4 linked regions of the Arabidopsis thaliana genome follow. The protein of the gene in region 1 binds, or shares a complex with, the protein of each later gene. Each region holds a gene or a part of one and is shown on either strand. Other genes may lie near its edges.

The links.
Region 2: EMB3136 (region 1) and EMB3126 share a complex: the UniProt entries of both Arabidopsis thaliana proteins name them as parts of the 50S ribosomal subunit.
Region 3: EMB3136 (region 1) and RPL15 share a complex: the UniProt entries of both Arabidopsis thaliana proteins name them as parts of the 50S ribosomal subunit.
Region 4: EMB3136 (region 1) and RPL21C share a complex: the UniProt entries of both Arabidopsis thaliana proteins name them as parts of the 50S ribosomal subunit.

The regions. Positions count from the first base shown.
Region 1 is NC_003076.8:4,338,748-4,343,171, reverse strand, and holds EMB3136 (Ribosomal protein L10 family protein), read right to left. Parts: upstream 1,911-4,424; 5' UTR 1,879-1,910; coding exon 1,216-1,878; 3' UTR 1,077-1,215; downstream 1-1,076. Other genes in the region: AT5G13520 (peptidase M1 family protein), read left to right, coding at 39-365, 762-1,055; AT5G13500 (Hyp O-arabinosyltransferase-like protein), read right to left, coding at 2,345-2,407, 2,750-2,863, 3,013-3,084, 3,214-3,283, 3,389-3,486, 3,653-3,854, 3,935-4,002, 4,107-4,424. UniProt on the Arabidopsis thaliana protein: This protein binds directly to 23S ribosomal RNA.
Region 2 is NC_003074.8:23,442,075-23,447,699, reverse strand, and holds EMB3126 (Ribosomal protein L1p/L10e family), read right to left. Parts: upstream 3,498-5,625; 5' UTR 3,432-3,497; coding exon 3,102-3,431; intron 3,028-3,101; coding exon 2,848-3,027; intron 2,756-2,847; coding exon 2,701-2,755; exon of another isoform or gene 2,440-2,700; coding exon 2,312-2,439; intron 2,185-2,311; coding exon 2,101-2,184; intron 2,032-2,100; coding exon 1,906-2,031; intron 1,818-1,905; coding exon 1,680-1,817; 3' UTR 1,370-1,679; downstream 1-1,369. Other genes in the region: TTA2 (fibronectin type III domain protein (DUF1423)), read left to right, coding at 1-631, 804-1,369; AT3G63480 (ATP binding microtubule motor family protein), read left to right, coding at 3,891-4,007, 4,097-4,199, 4,359-4,402, 4,509-4,538, 4,626-4,748, 4,831-4,856, 4,929-5,022, 5,099-5,140 and 3 more. UniProt on the Arabidopsis thaliana protein: This protein binds directly to 23S ribosomal RNA.
Region 3 is NC_003074.8:9,490,269-9,495,439, forward strand, and holds RPL15 (ribosomal protein L15), read right to left. Parts: upstream 2,388-5,171; 5' UTR 2,291-2,387; coding exon 2,207-2,290; intron 2,136-2,206; coding exon 1,772-2,135; intron 1,480-1,771; coding exon 1,328-1,479; intron 1,234-1,327; coding exon 1,000-1,233; 3' UTR 787-999; downstream 1-786. Other genes in the region: AT3G25910 (MAP kinase kinase kinase, putative (DUF1644)), read left to right, coding at 1-686; AT3G25930 (Adenine nucleotide alpha hydrolases-like superfamily protein), read right to left, coding at 2,764-2,824, 2,917-3,029, 3,194-3,285, 3,405-3,603; AT3G25940 (TFIIB zinc-binding protein), read left to right, coding at 4,836-4,953, 5,046-5,086.
Region 4 is NC_003070.9:13,206,435-13,211,576, reverse strand, and holds RPL21C (Ribosomal protein L21), read right to left. Parts: upstream 2,895-5,142; 5' UTR 2,801-2,894; coding exon 2,486-2,800; intron 2,176-2,485; coding exon 2,095-2,175; intron 1,862-2,094; coding exon 1,760-1,861; intron 1,652-1,759; coding exon 1,577-1,651; intron 1,421-1,576; coding exon 1,331-1,420; 3' UTR 1,149-1,330; downstream 1-1,148. Other genes in the region: CDPK2 (calcium-dependent protein kinase 2), read right to left, coding at 3,519-3,659, 3,745-3,969, 4,053-4,220, 4,292-4,407, 4,506-4,658, 4,748-4,891. UniProt on the Arabidopsis thaliana protein: This protein binds to 23S ribosomal RNA in the presence of protein L20.

The sequences.
Region 1 (4,424 bases):
TTACAATAATGGTCATCTATTTACTGGAAAACTTTCAGATTGGAAGAACTGCTTTTGACGAATTCCTCAAGAAATACATTGCTACTTTCAAGTTCAAGTCAATCGATACAAACACATTTCTTGAATTCCTGAAAGCAAACATCCCTGGCATAGAGAAAGAGATCAATCTACAGCTGTGGACTGAGGGCGTTGGTATACCAGAGGATGCATATGAACCAGTCTCAACCATTTACACAAAGATCATATCCCTGGCGAAAGAGTTTAAGGAAGGAAAGATGCCAAGTGAGGATGATGTTGCTGAGTGGAACGGACAGGAATGGGAGCTGTACTTGGAGAATCTTCCTAAATCATGTGAACCTTCTCAGGTACTCTTTACTCCTTTCTTCCTCTAAGTTAATGGGAGCTGTACTTGGAGCTGTACTTGCTGAGTGAATCTTTATTTCTTCCTCTAAGATAATGGGAAATGGCTTGACTTAGGTTGAACTACTCAATAAGCTTACATAAGGAGGAGAAAAAGGCCTAACTAACTGTCAGTTAGGTTAGCTCAATAGTTACTCTTGGATTAATGTGGGGCTAGTGAATAATGATTGTGGAAAAACCCTCTTGGCTTTGGGAGAGTTCATGATTGTGGAAAGTGTATTGGCTTTGCAAGAGTTAGGATCTTATCTTGTTTGTTAATGACAATGCTAGTCAACAAAGGAAGGATTGGTGATCAGGTTCAAACCTATGGCTAACACCCACTTTGCTCATTGATGAATCAGGTCATGGCCTTGGACAAGCGGTACAGACTGGCAGAATCGAAAGACTATGAAGTGAAGGTCTCGTTTCTGCAACTTGCAGTCACATCCAAGTGCAGAGAGTACCATGGGGAAGTGAAGAAAACACTAAAAGAGGTAGGAAGGATGAAGTACCTGCGTCCACTCTTCACTGCTCTTGCACAATCTGGTGGAACAGAAGAGAAGCAGCTGGCAAAACAGGTGTTTGCAGAAGCTCGAGAAACTTATCACCCCATAGCTCAGGGAGTTGTTGAATCTATCCTCTCTAAGTACATCTAAACAAGACCGTTATGATAGCTTGAGAGCACTCCGAAAAACAACATTTCAATAAAACTCAGTCACTGTAATAACAATTGGTGCTTGAGAGAGTCATAAACAAAAAATTGAATTGCCTTTTGTTGCGTACATTACATTCTCCAAAAGATTAGTACAAGCTTAACTATGCATTACTCTCATCTTCCAACTTCTTAATGTAAGCCATAAGCACCATTATAACCTCTCTTGCTGGTGCTTGTAAAGTAGTGACGAGATTAATAGCCGGAGATTGCAGAGCACCGAGCATCTTAGCGTAGACCTCAGCACGAGTGGGCATGGTCTCGAGGACTTTGAAATTGTCAGGAGCGTAGAACTTACCTTCGAAGACAGCGCCGGCAAAGTCATTGTTTTCAAGCTTGCGTTCCTTCTGGAAGCTCCGGTAGGGTTTGATAGCAGAAGGGATTTCATCGGTCTGGACGAAAAGCCAAGCGTTCATGCCTTTCATACAAGGCTTGAGAGCTTCCCATTTGGTGCCTTCAATGGCTTTGAAGACCAAAGTGTTCTTGGCGACGATGAGCTTTGTAGTGTCGGGGAGAGTTCTCCGGAGGTCTTGAAACTGCTTGACGGTGAGGCCTTTGTAGTTGATGGCGGCGAGGAGATGGCAGTTCTCCAAGTGAGACTTGACGGCTTCGACAGTCTCTTCCTTCTTGTTACGAGACACCGCGGATCTGATGACCGGGAGGCGAGGGTAATTTGGGGAATTCGAGGTTTTGGGTGTGAGAGTTGAGATTCGCTGGTGACAGAGAGGAGACAAGGAAGAAGAGAAGGAGAGAAGAGCCACTTCCATTTTTTTGCTCAGAAGATGAGGAGACTGTTTCTAGCTGTGTGGAGGAAGAAGATAGATGAACAACAACACAATCCTCCACTAAGCAATTTTATTTTTTTATTTTTCTTAAATGGAAAATAAAATTTATGGATAAAAAAAGGGTTAATAGACGGAATTAGTAACTCCGTCTAATTTAACGCATTGTGTCTTTTAGTCTCTGCTTCTGAATTCTGAACGCAATCCATTGGTAAACTAATCAAATAACTAGACCCAAAATAATTCTATTTTCTTTCTCGGAATTATGGAAGATGTCTCGTCTCGTGTCAAACAAATAATTTTGTAATTTACTACTCAAGTTCATAATTTAACCATTACAAGAAAAAACAGACAAGAAGGGAAGTAAAGGGAGAAGGAAAAAAAAATTAGGCAAAATATTGTTGCTGTATGGATTTGTCCCTATGGTTTGTGTTTTGTGTGTGGATGTGAGTTAGAGAGTGTCCCAATTAGGGATAGTCGCAGTAGCTTCATTCACCATCTTCACAAGTGTCACCTGCACCATCACACAATATGTTATTAAGGACAGTCATTCAATATTACGGTTCTCACTCTCACACTTGATTGACCACAAGCAAAACCGTAACTCCTGAAGATATTACAACTACTTCTAACAGACTTATGCATATCATCTCCCCGGAAAGTAAAACCATTGCAAATTCACAAACTACATCAAACTATGGACGACCATTTGTGTATGACGTTGCTATTTAGTCTCCGGAATCCACTAAACCAATGGACATGATACAAATAAGTTCCCCTTTGAGCTATGAATGGACCTTACTGCAGTATCTTGTTTTAAGCACGATCAGATTATAGAGGTTTATATATAACATACCACACTTTCGGGAACACCGGGAGGCGGCAAGGACATGTTCCTTGGAGGAGGACCCCGCAAATGTGATCTCTTATCGAATCGCCACTCTCCTATTTTGCCATATGTCAGCTCCCCCTGTATTTAACAGTCAGCAAAACTTAGTAGTGACTAAAAAGAGAACCTAATGACCTTAAGTAAAAACAAATGACCACAAGATGTGAAATCTGTTCCTAATTTATCAGCCAAAAATTAAAATTAAACAATCGTGTCAAACAGAAAATCACCTTCATGTTGTAGTCGCATCCATAAGTGTAATGAATGATAAACTTCCCCTTGGTAGACAAATCCCACGGAGGCTGAAAGATATTGTGAGAGAACTTAGGAATATGGAGCAGAGAAACAACTTTTGTAACTTTGACAAAACAAAAGTATCTTCGACATAGAATATGTTATCACTAAGGTATCAGCACAAGGTCGATTCTTACCTGAAGCATGAAATCCTTCCGAAGTATGTGACGCACCCCATGTATAGCAGATGCAATTGCGTAACCGTACCTTATCAAACAGAAAAGAGAAGAATAAAGTAGTCAGTTAACAATGATGGGATTCAAAAGGTGGAGAGCCAATTCATGATTTAAGATTCTTGTTTCTTGTGCTAACATTTCCAGCACCCATCCAAATGCCTTATCAGTTTCTGGATCGTTTTTCATTGTCAGCGAGACATTCATCCATGTAGGAGCAATCTTTTCAAGTGATTCCTGCATCAGAAAGTAAATGCATGTCAACATCAATTTTAATGCATGAACAGAACAAACAGAACATATTCCTGGACACCAACATCACATCTAGCTAAACGCCTCTGAAAATCTTTGGGGCCCAAGTCAAATAACACATATACAAACAGTATAGCACAGATAATCTCACCTTGCTTATGATAACAGGAGAGTTGCCAATGGGGTCGATATTTGTTACTGGCCCCATCTCCGCTGGATAATACTTTCTGACTATGTTTTCATACTTTTCAGGAGTAATATAGAAAAACGGAAAAGCGGCTGGGAATCCTCCAACAGCCAAATTGGGAAGGGGATTAACAAATACATGATCAGGCTCTGCCATGAGCACATAGCTGCACCAACAGTAAGATGCAGGAGATTTAGCAAACAGTAGAATGTTAGTTGGAAGGAAGAGAGAAATGACAGGACTTACTCTTCCTTGATGGTAGCTCTTTCAAGCCATTGCACGAATGCCCATGGTCTATTCAAGACAACATACCCCTAAATACAAGATTACAAGATTACAAAAAAGAGTGAATCAGTGATAAACCATCAACAAAAAGTGAGACCAAATGGAGAAACGGGAATAAAATAAAAATTCTTACCCGATCAAGACCTGGAGGAAGAGGATCAACCACAAATGTGGGTATTTCATCCATCAAGTTATCAGAATTACCGGAATGCAAAATACGGGTGAAGCCACCCATATCAGAACCAGGAAGAGCTTTCTTCTGCTTATACCAATAATACATAATACGACACTGCCACTTATTATAAGGTGCATCTGTAGCTGTTAAGGCAACATGAAAAGGTGCTGGAGAACTCTTGGCTTTCCTAATATTTAGAGGCATCTGAACAACAGGATCCAGAAGTGGACTTCCATCTGAATTACTCACACCAGATCTATTGTGAACTATAAGTGT
Region 2 (5,625 bases), on another chromosome or scaffold:
CTTACAAAATCTCATCGCGCTCAGTTGGAGATCTTGGTCGCACTGAAATCTGGGCGTTCTGATTTCCTTCTTTTGGACAACAGCATCTCGTCTTCCCATTTAGCTGAGATTTTCATGAACATGAGATGCAAAAATCTTTCTTGTAGGGTTCTGTTGCCTGTGGACGAATGCGATTGCAGGGTTTGTTCAAGGAAGGATGGATTTTGTAGTGCTTGCATGTGTCTTGTGTGCTCAAATTTTGATATGGCATCCAACACCTGTAGCTGGGTTGGGTGTGATGTGTGCCTACACTGGTGCCACACAGATTGTGGGATAAAAGAGTCTTACATCCGGAATGGGATCAATGCTTCTGGTGCTCCAGGAATGACCGAGATGCAATTTCACTGTGTTGCCTGTAACCATCCCTCAGAGATGTTTGGCTTTGTCAAAGAAGTGTTTCTGAATTTTGCAAGGGAATGGAAATTTGAGCGCTTTTGCAAGGAACTGGAGTATGTCAATAAAATATTTTCATCAAGCAAAGACTCTAGAGGGAAACAGCTGAGACAAGCTGCTGATGCGATGCTGGCAAGTTTGAAAAGTAAATTGATAGGCCTTCCTGAAGCTTGCAATCGCATATTGGGTTTCATTTCAGGTGCGCGAAATTGTATAAATTGTGAGCTTTATCTGGGTATCAAATATGGCTTTATTAGTCTGTTTTAGTATAGATGATCACACAGTGAACACATGTTGGTTAAATTCTTGTGATATATGTGCCATAGATATTCCTTGTAACAATCTGTCGATACTTTGCCTGTTGATTGCAGACTGTGATTCCTCCACTCCTGCTGAAACTAGTGCACCGTTCATATACGAACAGCCAAAACCCAGGCATGAGAGGGGAAGCCCTAGTCAGGACACGGCGTGGCTGAGATCGGTGTGCTCAGATAACCCGCATAATCAGCTGAAAAGGTCAGCGAGCGTAGCTGATGCATTCCACAGAGAGAGGCAAGTTGAAATATGTGCAGTGGAGATGGAGTTGGAAAGGGGTTCACCAAAGGAACCTCGTTTCGAAGAGCTAGAGAGCATTGTGAGAATGAAGCAAGCAGAGGCAGAAATGTTCCAAGGGCGGGCCGATGATGCACGAAGAGAAGCAGAGGGACTGAAACGAATAGCAATAGCGAAGAAGGAGAAGATAGAAGAAGAGTACAATCGGAGAATGGGGAAGTTGAGTATGGAGGATGCACAGGAGAGAAGGAGGAGGAGGTACGAGGAGTTAGAGGCAATGCAGAGAGGGCAGAGAGAGTTTTATGAAATGAAGATGAGAATGGAGGAAGAGATGAGAGGGCTTCTCACCAAAATGGAAATGACGAAGCAGAGTCTGGCCTTGTAATATTTGTAGTAGTAAATCACATGTAATGTACACAGAAACCTCCTCCTCGTATGTAACCTAAAGATCAATGTAAGGTCTTTTCTTTTAGAGAGTACTAAAGAGTTCTGCGTCCTGACATGTACAGCCCCTTGCCAAATTTTAATAGGCAATAGTAAATAAATAACGACAAGAAGCAAATGGCCATCAAAGTGATACAAAGCAGTGAGGCGTGAAAAGATTACTAACAGACTAGACTTGGTGTTTCTCTTCTCTGTCTACACTGGCATTGCCCGTCTCCCAAAAGGACCCCATTTACAAATGGCGTTGTCGATTAGTTCGCAGTGGGAGGCTTGAAGTCTATCATCTCTCTTATGTTCAACTTGATGGAAGGCCCCATTGACGAGCATATGTGAGCGCTTTTCCAGTACACTCCTTTAGCTCCCTTTGGCTTGTTTGTCTCCACCGATTTCTGCATTTCATCATTTACTTTTCCCTCTTCATTTTTTTTTGTATTTTAAACCACAGAAATACGTAATAAGAATGGAGAATTAGCCTACCACTGCTGCAAGGAAGTTTATGAGAAGGTCTTCCTCTGTAAAATTAACTTTCCCAAATGGAATGTGAACAATCCCAGTTTTGTCTGCTCTGAATTCAACTTTCCCCTTCTTGAACTCTTCAATAGCCTGAGAGATTTATGCATCTTTAAGCCATGACTACCAGAATCAGGAAAAGATGTTGCAGAGTAGGCTTACCTGGGGAATGTTCGCTGTGACTGTACCAGCCTTGGGATTTGGCATGAGCCCCCGTGGTCCAAGAATCTTTCCCAGGCCAGCAACCTAAGCGCCAAGTTCAAGAATGTTAGAAAATAGATCACGAGTTACAAGTATCTCATGCCACCTTATTTGCCAAGCATGACGGTTTCATATGCTGTAACAAGTAGAACATTATATCATCAACACATACCTTGACCATCATATCCGGGGATGCAATCAGCTTGTCAAACTCCATGAAGCCTCCTTTAATCTGTTCGATTAAATCATCACTGCCCACAATATCTGCCCCTGCACTTTTGGCTTCATCAACCTTCTCACCTGGAAGTTCAGCATGGAAATGGTGCAAGCCAAAGATTTAGAAAGAATAAGCCACATGATACACAAGAACTCCATCCAATCAATATATAAATAAAAAGTCAATCGCACCAAACAATGTTGCATCTAGAGAAGTACTGACTGACTGACTGATACCGTAAACATTATCTCTGTCCTAAGTCCTAACAGTGAATTTGGTGACTGAAATGGTAAAGCATAATCTCTGTCCTAAGTCCTAGCAGTGAATTTGGTGGGGCAATATACCTTGTGCAAGAACAGCGACTATAACAGTCTGGCCAGTTCCCTTAGGCAGGCTCACCTATACAAAAAGACAATGCATTGAGATTAAAAAATGTTGTGGAATGAAGCAGCACAAGATAGAGTGTATATCCAGCAAAAGGCAAAGCAGACCGTTGCACGCAGCTGCTGGTCATTGTACTTAGGATCGATGTTGAGACGGAAATGGGCTTCAACAGACTCAACAAACCTTGTGTTGGCAGTTTGTTTAAGCAAAGAGATAGCAGTGTTGACATCATACTCCTTTTTGGTTTCCCTTAGCTTTTGGATTTCCAAAAACCTCTTAGACCTTGTCTGTCAATGGGTAAGCAAACAAAGTGATGATTCACGAGTAAAGGAAGCGAAATTGAAGTAGGTAAAGCACATACTCTATCTCTCTTGAGAACCAAAGCGGCTTTTCCTTTCTTAGGCTTGGGCGGATCAAGGACGGCGGTGGCGGTCTGCTCCAGGTCCTCCTCCGTGTCGAGGTCAGCCTCAGCGGCCACGGCGGAGACAATAAACTTGTGGTTGGAAGCTCTGTCAATAGCAGCACATCTCCGGTCCCTGGAACCCCCAAGGAGAAGAAGCGGGAAGCTCAAGTGGTTGGGTCTGGAGCTGGCAAAAGAGAAAAGAGATGGAGTAGGGGTAAGGTCCTGGGAACGAGTGGATGCGGCGGCGTATGCTAGCATGAGAGAGGAGTGAGTAGCGCAAGCAGCCATTGTTGGAGCTCTCTTTCTTTCTGGGTACAAAGAAGAAGAAGAAGAGTGCGAGTCTCCCTAATCCACTCCACGCCCAAGGGGATAACAACACCCCCTATTCTTTCTAAGCTATTATTCTCTGCGTGGCGGGCACCTTAGCTACCGTGTTCCTAGTGACACGTGTCTTCTTATGGACCATTAGATCTTTTAACAACCCACACGCGTATCCTCGTGACCTCTTCTCCTTCTCCTTCTTCTTCTTCCTTCTCTTTTCTCAAAAATCAGATTTCGAGTTTCTTCTTTCCCGCCCGTAAGAGAAACCCTACTCTGACTCTCCACTCCATTTGAGAGGTAAGTTCCGATTCCTTTTCTCTCAGCTTCAAATTTCCTGTGCTACTATTTCCCCAATTTCATTCATCTTCTGCTGACTCATTTTGGGTGTTTCACTGTAGACTGAGCTCGTTCCGATAAGGAGAGGAGATGTCTAACGTAACCGTCTGTGCGCGATTCAGGCCGCGAAGCTCTAAAGAGATGCGCGATCCCAGCAGAGATGGTGTCTGTGCTCGACCCATCGACGCTGAAACCTTCGTTTTCCAAGTTTGTCTACTCGACGCCGTGTGCTTGATTAATATTGTCTCTCTCTCTCTGTCTCTCAAACTCTATCTAGCGTTTTTACTTGCGTGTAGGATGACAAGGAAGATGAATTTACATTTAGCCTCGATAGAGTTTTTTATGAGGACTCTACCCAAGCTGCGGTTTATGAGTTTCTGGCTCTCCCCATCATGAGAGGTACTAATTGATTCCTTGATCTTCTCTTCTGGATTTTAGATCTAAACATTTGAGCACCAATCTTATGATTTTACAATGTAATCAACATTTTTGGTTTTGGTTTCCTCCTACCTTTGTCTTTTGCATCTTTTACCTTTGTACTACTACTACTACTTTCAGACGCTGTAAATGGTATAAACGGAACAATCATCACTTATGGACAGGTTTGTTCTTCTCCTGATCTCTTTTATCTGGAAATGCTTTCAATGTCTTTTTCTTAATTTGGCAGATTTTGATCTCAATTTGATCGTTTCATGTTATACTATGCAGACAGGGGCTGGGAAGACTTATTCCATGGAGGTCACCTAACTCATCTTGATACCTCTTCCTGTAGCACAAGGACCATTCCTTCTTCTGGCTCATTTTGGTTTTCTTCGATTGATTCAGGGACCAGGCATCCAGGACTGTGATGAGCACAATAAAGGACTTCTTCCAAGAGTGGTCCATGGGATGTTTGAGCAAATCAGCTCTTCCAATGATATTGCAAGATACACTGTTAAATTGTCTATGGTACTGACTTAAATGCACTTGCTATAAGTCTCCTTTCAAGCTCTCCTGTATAGACATCTTACGTGTCTTTTGTCTCCTCTAGGTTGAGATCTACATGGAGAAAGTCAGGTATTGTGTATGTAATTCCCTCTGATTTCTTCTAGGGTATATAGCTTATCGATAAATTCATATATCTCTCAGGGACCTGTTGGACTTATCAAAAGCAAACATACAGATCAAGGAGAACAAAACACAAGGAATACTCTTGTCAGGCGTTACAGAGGCTAGCTTCATTGTCTTATATCTTCTATTTGCTAGTGTTGAGAAAAATCTTTACTGGGTAGGCAAGTTTTAATCATTCGTTGCTTCAGGTGCCTGTATCAGATTCGGTGGAGGCATTACAACATCTATGCGTAAGATAGCAGCTACCCTAAGTTTCTTAATTGCCTTATACGGCCTTCTTCTTTCTTATTTCTGATGCCAATTGCCATTTCAGACCGGTTTAGCTAACCGCGCAGTTGGGGAAACCCGTATCCTCTTAGCTTTTACAGCACTTACTTGTTCAATGTTTCCCCATTTAGTCGATAGTGAGATTATGATTATGCTACTCCGAGTTGACTGAAAGGTTAAAACTGATTGAGAGTCATCTTGAAGAATGTTTCCAGTTTAACAATGAATGACAGAAATGAATATGTCCAGCAGTAGAAGCCACTGCGCCTACTTGTTCACAATCCAGCAGGATTCAGTTAAAGATAAAAGGTAACGATTTTTTACAATTAATCAGAAAAAAGTGATGCTGTAGTGGTGGAGCTTATATACATATCTGGCATGTGAACAGGGTAAAAACAGGAAAACTGATTCTTGTCGACCTGGCTGGCTCAGAGAAAGCAGACAAAAC
Region 3 (5,171 bases), on another chromosome or scaffold:
AAGAAGAAGAAGAAGTAGTAGTAGAAGAAGAAGAAGAAGGAATTGTAACAACAGAAGAAGATCAAGAAAAAAACAAACCACAAAAGCTTACTTGTCCGTTATGTCGTGGACATATAAAAGAATGGGTAGTTGTTAAAGCAGCTCGATGTTTCATGAACTCAAAACATAGAAGCTGTTCTTGTGAGACTTGTGATTTCAGTGGAAGCTATTCCGATCTGAGAAAGCACGCAAGGCTTCTACATCCAGGAGTTAGGCCATCAGAAGCAGATCCAGAGAGACAGAGAAGCTGGAGGAGGCTAGAAAGGCAGAGCGATTTAGGGGATTTACTTAGCACACTCCAATCTTCTTTTGGAGGAGATGAAATAAGTAACGATGATGGGTTTCTATTTGCTGATACTCGCTTGCTTACAGTGTACTTTCTCATCCGCGTGTTTAGACCAGAATCGAGTGGCTCAAGGAGTAGTAGCTGGTCTGGTACATCTAGAGCTAGGACACATACAAGTGGGAGAAGAAGATCTTCAAGACCTGCAAGTCTTTGGGGAGAGAGCTATGAAGGTAATACAGGAACATCACCTAGAGATGAGGAGAATAATCAATCTTCTGATGAACAAGTGTCTGGAACTCGGAGACGTCGTTCTAGAAGAAGAACTGTCATTGATGATGATGATGAAGAAGAAGAACCGTGATGCTCTGCAGTTTGGAAATTTGGTCTTTGGAGTTTATGATAAAATGGGGGAAACCTTGTAGTAATAACCCCACTTATGAAACCCTATTATGTAAAATTTCTTTGGAGATTGAAAAAAGTTTCTACTATTGGGAAACAAAATGTTCAATATTTCATTACCGTTTAAATATCTTTTTGATAATGACTCTTCAAACAACAAAATGTAAATCTCTTCACCATACAAAAAGACAAAGGAATTGTAATTAACATTTGTCATAGACAATTATCTTCTCTGCAGCTTTACAACACTAAAAAGAGCTTGAAACTGAAGTAATTTAAGCAGAGGCTGCTGGCTCTGAAGTTGCTGCTTCTGCTGCTGCAGCTCTCTTCTTGGCAAAGTATTCATCTGCTCGTGCTTGGTTCTTTGCAACAGATGGCTTAACCCATTTCTTTCTTCCCGGCAACACAGTGAGTGTACAACCTGAAGCTTCAAGCTTCTCTTTTGCTTGTGTTGAGAAGGCACGAGCTTTGAAGGTGAGCTTCATGCTTAGTTCTCCTGTACCCAGAATCTGAAATCCAAGACCAATCAAAACGTTTAAATAAAGAAAGAAAAGACGAAAGCACAATCGAAAGAAGTAGGATCAACAAGTTTGGAAAACTAACCTTAAGAGGGAGTTTCCTTTCTCTCCCTGAAGGATTAATCAAACCCTTTTGCTTCAATGTCTCCAATGACACTTCATCTCCCTCTTGAAACCCAGCTGTTTCTATGTCTTTGATATTAACCGGTAAGTATTTAGGTAATCCTGAACGCATACCTGTTTAAAGAACACAGTAACGCAACGATGCATCAGAAATATATCTCTATTGGTTTGAGCTAATTAGCAAAATCGAACCATGAAATATCTCTATTCACTAACTACAATCTTGATCCATAGTTGTCAATTCATGGCTCTCTTACCCAATATTAAATCTATGAAACAAATGTGCCCTAACTAAATAAAACTGAAAGCAGCATCACCAAATTTAAACAGAGCCTTTTGGATGAGACATTTCATCGAACATTTGGGCTACACAAAACTTGGATACCAAACAAAAACAAAACTTTACCTCCAGCGATTCCTCTAAGTTTGGGAAGACGACGATAAAGAGCAGTTTGACCACCTTCAAAGCCTCTCATAATCCCAGGACCCGATCTTGATTTCTGACCTCTCATACCAAAACCACAACTTGCTCCTTGTCCTGCAGAGATACCTCTACCTTTTCTCTTCTGCTTCTTCCTCGAACCTGGCTGTGGTCCAAGATTATCCAAACGGAATCTCTCCGGAGCTACAACTGCCGACGACGTAGCCGCCGTTTGGCTAACCACAACAAGGGGTCTCGCAAATTGCTGTTGGTTTCTCGTTTTAAGGGTTTGGTTGAGTTTCAGAGATAGAATCTGACTTGGGTTTGCCCCCAAAACACTTACATTTCCCTGTACACATTTCAAATTCCAATTTTACGGATTCATTCAAAATTGACATTTGTAGAAGAATGAGAGATTACCTTGAATGAAGTAGAAGATAAGTGGAGACGGTAACAATGGCGGGAGGTGAGAGGATTTGATGAGATTGAGAGTGGAGTAGCCATGGTCACAGGGAACAACAGATGAAACAAAGCTTCAAGGATAAGGTTGAGGAAGATAGATAGAGAGAGATAACTTTCTTGAGAAACTTAAGAGTTAAACGACATCGTCTTACATAATCACTTAATTGTTTATTGGGCCTTTCACAGCAAATTTAGGCCTTTTCGTTTTCAATAAAAGAGTCGTTACTCGTTCGTATCAATTCGTTTGTGTCCAAAGTGGGTTTTCAGATAAGCTCATGTCTGAATTAGTCGGGATGATCAAGACACCAGTGCCAATAAAAGAAACGATAAGAAATTATAGTATTTATACTAACTTGATATATATAAACACAAATATTTATACACATAACACAATTATAAGTTCAAACTACAACCCCAAATCAACACCTGAAACTACAACCCCAAATCATTACACAATCTCAATTAACCACATAGAAAATTATATATATTGGTGAATTTTGTAACTTCCTTAATCTTTAATCTTTGCGAAGTCTTTTCTTCACGACAAGAAGAGAACAATCTGTATTTTGTGTACACCTGCATTTAATTAAAAGATGTTTGTTATCTCAACTTTTCCATCAATACTAAGTTTTTTAACTGATATTTTGAAATTAAAAGATGTTTCTTACTTTTTGAGACTTTGTTGATCGCTCGTAACTATTAAATTGATATTTCGTTCTTGAATTATCTTGCGGATTAGATCTTTAGGGTCTCCATCATCAGTAAATGTCTCTGCCTTGATCTGTTTTCAACATGATTATGATGAGATCATGAGACTAAAATATTGCAACAAATGGTTGTCATGAAAAGAACTTCATTTTTTTCTTTTAAAACTTTGGTATTTAAAAATATATATATGATATTGTATTAATAACAAGTTAAATGATTCAGTCAATAGATTATTACCCCATGATTTAAACATATCTTCTTGGCTTTCTCTAATATACCCAAAGCAATTTTCATATTCTTTTCTTGAGCCAATCTTATGAGTTCTGAATCTGCAAAACACACATAAAAACTGATCAATTTTCAACAAAAGAAAGTACTAGGTGAAAATGGATAGAAAATTTGATATTTATTGAAAACTCCCAACAAATTAGTCGATAAAATGACTTACTAGGTGAAAATGGATAGAAAATTTGAGCAAAGCCGACTGATGAAGAAAGTACGGTAGGAGGAGTAAAGGAATTTTGTGGCTGTTTTGCAAAGATATAAACTTTGGAGCTCTCAATGGTATCTTTTTGGTTTTCAAGTGCCCAAATGAGTAAATCATAACTTGCGTTGCTCTCGTCAATAATCAGCATAACATTCTTCATCTTCTCTCTTTGTTTCTTCTTCTCCTTTCTTCTTCTAGCTTCTGCTAAAACCTCTTGTCAATGTGCAACTTTATAGTATATTTGGAAGTGGATTAACTTGTCAAAGGAAGTAATATAAAAAAAAATCTTAGGTGATTGGGTAATTGAAAGGCATGGGTTAACGACTTGATTCTGGCTTCTTCTCGTTTGCAAAATAAAATAAAATTATACACACAAGTAATACTATATTAAACCCGTGTGTAGTGGCAAAGTAGGTTTGGATTAGAACCAAAAGCGTAAAATCGCTATAACTTCAAGTTCAATCCCACAATATGCAATCATTTAAAGAAATTACATAACGATTTATAGTGATTTAATCTCCATGTTATATCACTTGATCATTTAGATTTCGGTTCAGATTCTGCTTAACTTGTGATGAGTTTGCGGAAAACGTTTTACTGAAATTTTCAAAAGACTAGTCATATGCTTATTCAAATTAGGATAGAGACAATGCTAAGTCTAACAAAAAAACATTTGTATATCAAAAAAGAAAACAATCGAATAATATGATCTCATTCTACAACATATTACCAATTCTCCATTGAAATATTCCATTAATAAAATGGTGTGAGTGGACCGGTGTTTGGTAACTGCCGGATACACGCCATTGATGACATAAAACATTATTCTCTTTGTCGGAATTTTTAATCATAATTAAATATCATTAGAGAGAGTTGGTAAAAGAAAAGACATAATTAGCTAAACGGGCTAAAATGAAAAGTTAATGGGCCAAACAGACATATATCCAGCCCATTATAATCTCTGCATCTCCTACCTCTGAATCCCAAAAACCCTAGCGATTTTTTTCTTCTCTCCCGAGACGCTCTGTGATAGCGAAAGCATCTGTTGTAATCTAAGGTACTCGATGATTCTCCTTTTCCATTTTAGTTCTCATTTGAAGTATATAGAACTGTAAAAATTTGTTAAAGTTATAATTTTGGGTTTTAACGGAATTTAAAGTCTCGAACTTTCGATTCTGAGTATGATTTTGATGCTCATAGTACTACTCTTGAAATTTTAGATGATGTTAATGGAGATATTTAGCTTAAAGATGCTTACTTTACTCATCTGTTGAGCATAGGATCGTCTTAATCTTTTTACTCATTACTTGTAAATTTCTTCAAGCAATTGAGACATGTAGAGATGAGTTATGTTTTTTTCTTTTTTGGTGTCATTGTGTTAAAGGTTCTGTAATGGAGAAATCTAGAGAAAGCGAGTTCTTGTTCTGTAATTTGTGTGGGACTATGCTTGTCTTGAAATCAACCAAGTATGCAGAATGTCCACATTGCAAAACAACACGGAATGCAAAAGGTTTTGATGAATCTTTCTTGATATCATCAAATCAAAACAAAGTTTTTGTTTCTTGGTTGGTTTAATCTTATTGCTGTGCTTTTATCGTTCAGATATCATCGACAAGGAAATAGCTTACACAGTTTCTGCTGAGGTATGCATCATACATTTTGTTTCGGTTTCATGGAGTAGCAAAAATCTCTCTGCTCTTGATTTGTGTTGTTAGTCAATTGTTATTA
Region 4 (5,142 bases), on another chromosome or scaffold:
CCCGATATAATGTGCTTATAATAAACAGATTTTCTTAATTAAACAAGATTAAACCAAACAAATACAAATATAATATCAAAAATAAATAGATATAAAAAGTAAGATGATAAATTCAAAATATAACTTGATTATTTAAATATAGATGATATAGAATTAAAAAAATAATATAATTTCTAACGTAAATAATCAACCCGTGGTATACCGCGGGTCAATATCTAGTTAGTAATAGATAAATTTAGCATTTAGTTGCTTTTAAAGAAATTTAAATAAATTTCTGTAAAAATTAATTAAAAATAGTAGCCAGCATGGAAATTTTTTCATATTTTCATTTGCCAACTGGCTGATAAAAAAGGTTCTGTTAATAAAATTAAGCTGTTTATTTATTTTACTATTTAATAATCATTTCTCAGATTTTAAACCTAGTCTATATAATAACATTATTTTGAAGACTAATATTATATTTAAAAGGACAAGAAAAATATCGAAAATATTATGAAATCTCTGAAATTTAAGTTAGAAAGTAAACTGGAATCTCATAAACTAAATGAATATATATTTTACTCTATTTTAAAGCATATATTTTTAATAGTCAAGTAGTCATTATTTAGTTATTTATAAATTATCTTAACCTATATATTTTTGGTAAAGGGTTTTGTTGCACCAAACTTAAAAAAAAAAAGGTTTGCAAAACTAGTAAACCAAACTCGGACCTAATCAACCACAAGAGTAAGAAAGCAAAAAATTACAACCCAACATGTATATAGCCTTCACATGTTGTGCCACTGAAGTGAAAAGTTACAACCCAACATGTATACAACCAAACTAATAATCGGAGACAATCTATCTTTTGCATATATATAATAAAAAAAACTCATTTCTCAATTCCTCATCAGAAAATCACCATAATACATCTCACACTATTGGTGCACATAATGTCTTTTACTAGAAAATCGCAACAACATATCAAAATTTTGTCAAAAACATATCAAAAAACACCATAATGTCTTTCATGTGTTTGTGCCTTTGCGGACGGAAAAATGTTATGGACGGTCCCGTCCATTTTCAAAATCTCAATATCAATTTCTGTATTTCTGTATTGTGTCCACTGAAGTGGTAGAAGTTGTTTTATTCTATAAAATTCATTAGTATGCGTAGATTGATGGATGAGCTATATTGAAGTTTTCATACACTAACTTAGAATTTGTGATCAAAGAATGGCAAAAGGTACATATTAATAAAAGGAATCTCAGCAGAAATGAAATGACCAGGGTCCTTACAAAATTACATAGAGAAGATCAGAAAAATTTTAACATTCAAGAAACATTTTGTGTCAAAGATTTACTTCTCCAACTGCAACATTGGGCGAGGCTGGATACTCTTCATACCCTGTGATTCCGGTAATCCTAATCCTCGTATTCGGCTACAATATCAACACATAAGTCACAACATAAGTGTCATTACTTCAAAGAGATTTCAGTTTCATCAGCCATAGCAAATTACAACAAGTAACTGATAGTAGTCTGTTGATTGTAACATTACATAGTTCAAATATAAGGAAGAGGACTTTCAGCAATACCTGTCTGTGACCGATATTTCTACGGTACTTCTTCTTAGGCTTGTACTTGAAGACTACCACTTTATCATTCAAACCCTACAACAACAAATGACATTCCGGTTATTCCAAGTTTAGAGGCGACTACATAGTCGAAAATACAAAACCACCAATCAGAAATTTAAGAAATCGTTTGTATTGACTTACTTGACTTTCCACAACAGCATGTACAGTGGCATTGGTCACAACCGGCTTGCCAATGTAAGTGTGTGTCTTTGTTCCAACAAGCAACACTTTGTTGAGAACAATCTGCACAAGAGAAAAAACAAAATATGAAAACTTCAGGAATCACCAAAAATGCAACAGAGAACAGCTTAACACAATGTTAACATAGGCAAAAGAATAGAACTTCTACACAAGCCACAAAGTTTACTCAATCTTCCATAGTTACATCATCTTTTCACAGATATACCATTTCGTACACAGAGTTTTTTACAAAGAAGAACACATCACATAGTCATTGAAAGCAAATGTGCATATACCTGGTCATCAACATTTGCATCTTTTAGCCTCTGAGTGTAGAGATATCTCCCTGGAAACACTATGTATTGGCGTCCACCAACCTATTCAAACCAAAGAGAACAACACTAAGCTAAATCAGAGATTGCAAATGAGAGAAACAAAATCAATTATAACAAAGCCAAACTCTAAACCTTGAAGAGTATATGCCACAAAAACACAATCTCTCCCTTAAGAAGTCAACATTCGTTAAACCTAAACCCTAAATCTTAAGAGTAGATACCACAAAAACACAGTCTCTCATTATCAAAACTCTAAAATCAAATTCATCAATCAACCAAACCTAATTCCGAATTCCAAAAGCTAAACACCGAAATTGAGAATTTGTTGTTTCGTATGATTCAACAAGCTCACCATAATAACAGCGAAAATCTCTTCTCGTTTAGCTTTTTCCTCAGTAACCTCCGAAACATCGGAAACCACCACAGCTTCGATATCGGTAGTCTCCGGTTCAGCTTCGACGACTGATTCCGCGAATTTCGGAGCGACGGTGAATGCGGTTCGAGACGTCGACGCAGTGGAAGGAGAAAGAAATCCAGTCAGAGGTTTAGCCAAATTAAGCGAAGGTTTAGAGAGAGAACAGAGGATAGTGCTAGAACGGCGAGAATTGACATTGCAATGAGCAGAGAAAGTAGAGCAGAGAGAGAGCGTCGCTGAAGAAGACGCCATTGTTTTCGACTGAGAGAGAGCTCTAAGCTCGAGACTTTGGAGCTCGACGGAGAATAAATCCGCAGTGTTATCCTATCCACTTCCTTTGAAAATTACCATTGTACCCCTGTCTTCAAATTGGTTTAATTTCTAAGCTTGCAATTTCGGTTTACCGGTTTATTTCGGTTCAGATTTTGGGTTTTCCAATTAAGTAATATATTATATACACATCAATTTTGGTTTTGTTCGATTTTTGACAAAAATTATAATTCTAACTACTCTTAATCTCTTTATAGTGTTTAGTGTATTTAAATGTACTTTATATTTAATTAGTTATATTAATTCTGAATATTGGTTAATTACAAATTCACCAAATTTGGTTTCAATTTGAGATTTGGTCTGGGTTGTTATAAGAATTTAGATTTGGTTTGGGTTGTTATAAGAATTTTCTACAGTTTCACAGTTTGTATTATAACAAAATTACTTATGAAATCCGATTTTGGTTCGGTTCGGTTTCTTTTCGCCATCCCTAAATCACATTTCTTTGGAATTCAAAAACTTTTATATGAAGCAAAAATTATCCATATGAGGATAAAAATTTAGAAAGTTGCTCATGTACAAAAATAAAAAGGAAAGCAAAAAACAAGCCAGAATATATTTTTGTATCCTTAGAAATTAGAATTCAAAATATAAACGAAATTAAAGAGAAAAAAAACAGAAATTGTGGAAGAATGATGAGTCAGTCATCAGATTTTTCACCATCAACTCCAAAAGCATCAGCAATGTTGAAGTTCAAGTTCTTCATCATGGTTCTGCTTCTCCCAACTCCATCTCCTTTCCTCATCATTGCTGTAAACTCCGAGAAATCGATCTTCCCGTCCTACATAATTCAAAAGCTCTCGGTTATAGTAAAGTAACATTGAAGAAGGAGGTAAACAAAGAGAAGAAGAAGAAGAGTGGTTTACATTGTCAAGATCAATCTCCTTGATCATGTCGTCCAGAGGTGTATCACATAGACCAAACTCTGTGCAAGCTGACTGAAGCTCATCGATGGTGATATAACCGCTTCCGTCTTTGTCAAAGTACGAAAATGCAGCCACCAGATTCTCCTCTCTCTCCATCTTGTTCATGTGTAAGGTTGCTGCTAGGAATTCTCCGTAGTCTATTGTACCACTGTTGTCGATATCAGCCTGTGACCACAACACACAGAGGATGTTAAACGGAAACAAAAGTTTTTGAAAAGAGGAAAGAGTTTGTTTTGGTTCTTTCATACCGCATCCATGAGAGACTTGATTTCTGATTCCATCAGTTCAGATCCGACTCTCTTCAAACCCGCTTTGAGCTCTTCAAAAGTAATCGTTCCGCTGTTGTCTGTGTCTATCATCTTGAACAATTCCTTCAGACCTCCAATTTCTTCCTCTGAAAGTCTCTCAGCAATTACCTGTGTTCAGAGAAATCAGCATACGGATTGGACATAAAGAAAAAGCGAATGTATATTACTCGAATTCATACCCGTAATGCCATTTTCTTAATCTTATTCATTTGAGAAAACTGCTTTAGACGAGATAAGACTGCTGGATCAAGAGGCTTGTCTGGTGCTGCTTGTTCATCGACAATCCATGGGTGACCTATATAACATTCAGAGCAAACTCAATACTCATTATTTACCATAAAAACAATTCACAACAGTTGCTAATTCCAAATGAACAACAAAGAATGAACATACACAAGGCTTCATGAGCAGAAATGCGTTTCTTGGGGCTCCTTTCGAGCATTTTATAGATCAAATCTTTAGCAGCTTCTGAGATAGTAGGCCACGGGTCAGATTTGAAATCTAACTTCCCTTGCAATATCTGTCTAAAGATTCCAGACTCAGTCTCTGCAATGCCCAAGAGAAAAGAATACATCATTCAAACAAAAACTCGAAACTTGTAAATAGAAAAGACTCTACTTTTTTAGTAGACTAACCTGCCCAGAAGGGAGGAACACCGCTGAGTAAAATGTAGAGGATAACACCAGCACTCCACACATCTATTTCAGGTCCATAACATTTCTTTAGCACCTCTGGTGCAACATAGTACGGACTTCCAACTACGTCATATAAATATTGTCCTGAAGAAGCAAACAAAAACCAATTAGCCGATAAACTGGCATTAATGAGAAGGTTCAAGCCAGACACACAAATGCAGAATAATTTCGATCTACACATTAAGTTTCAGAGACTCCTCAATGACGAACATCTATACACATTAATTTCGATCAATACAATGTTCCCTCTAAGAAGGTAACAAATTTGAATCCAACCAAACAGATCATCAAACCTATACATACCGAAAACCTTATTTCGATTTGCAATCCATATA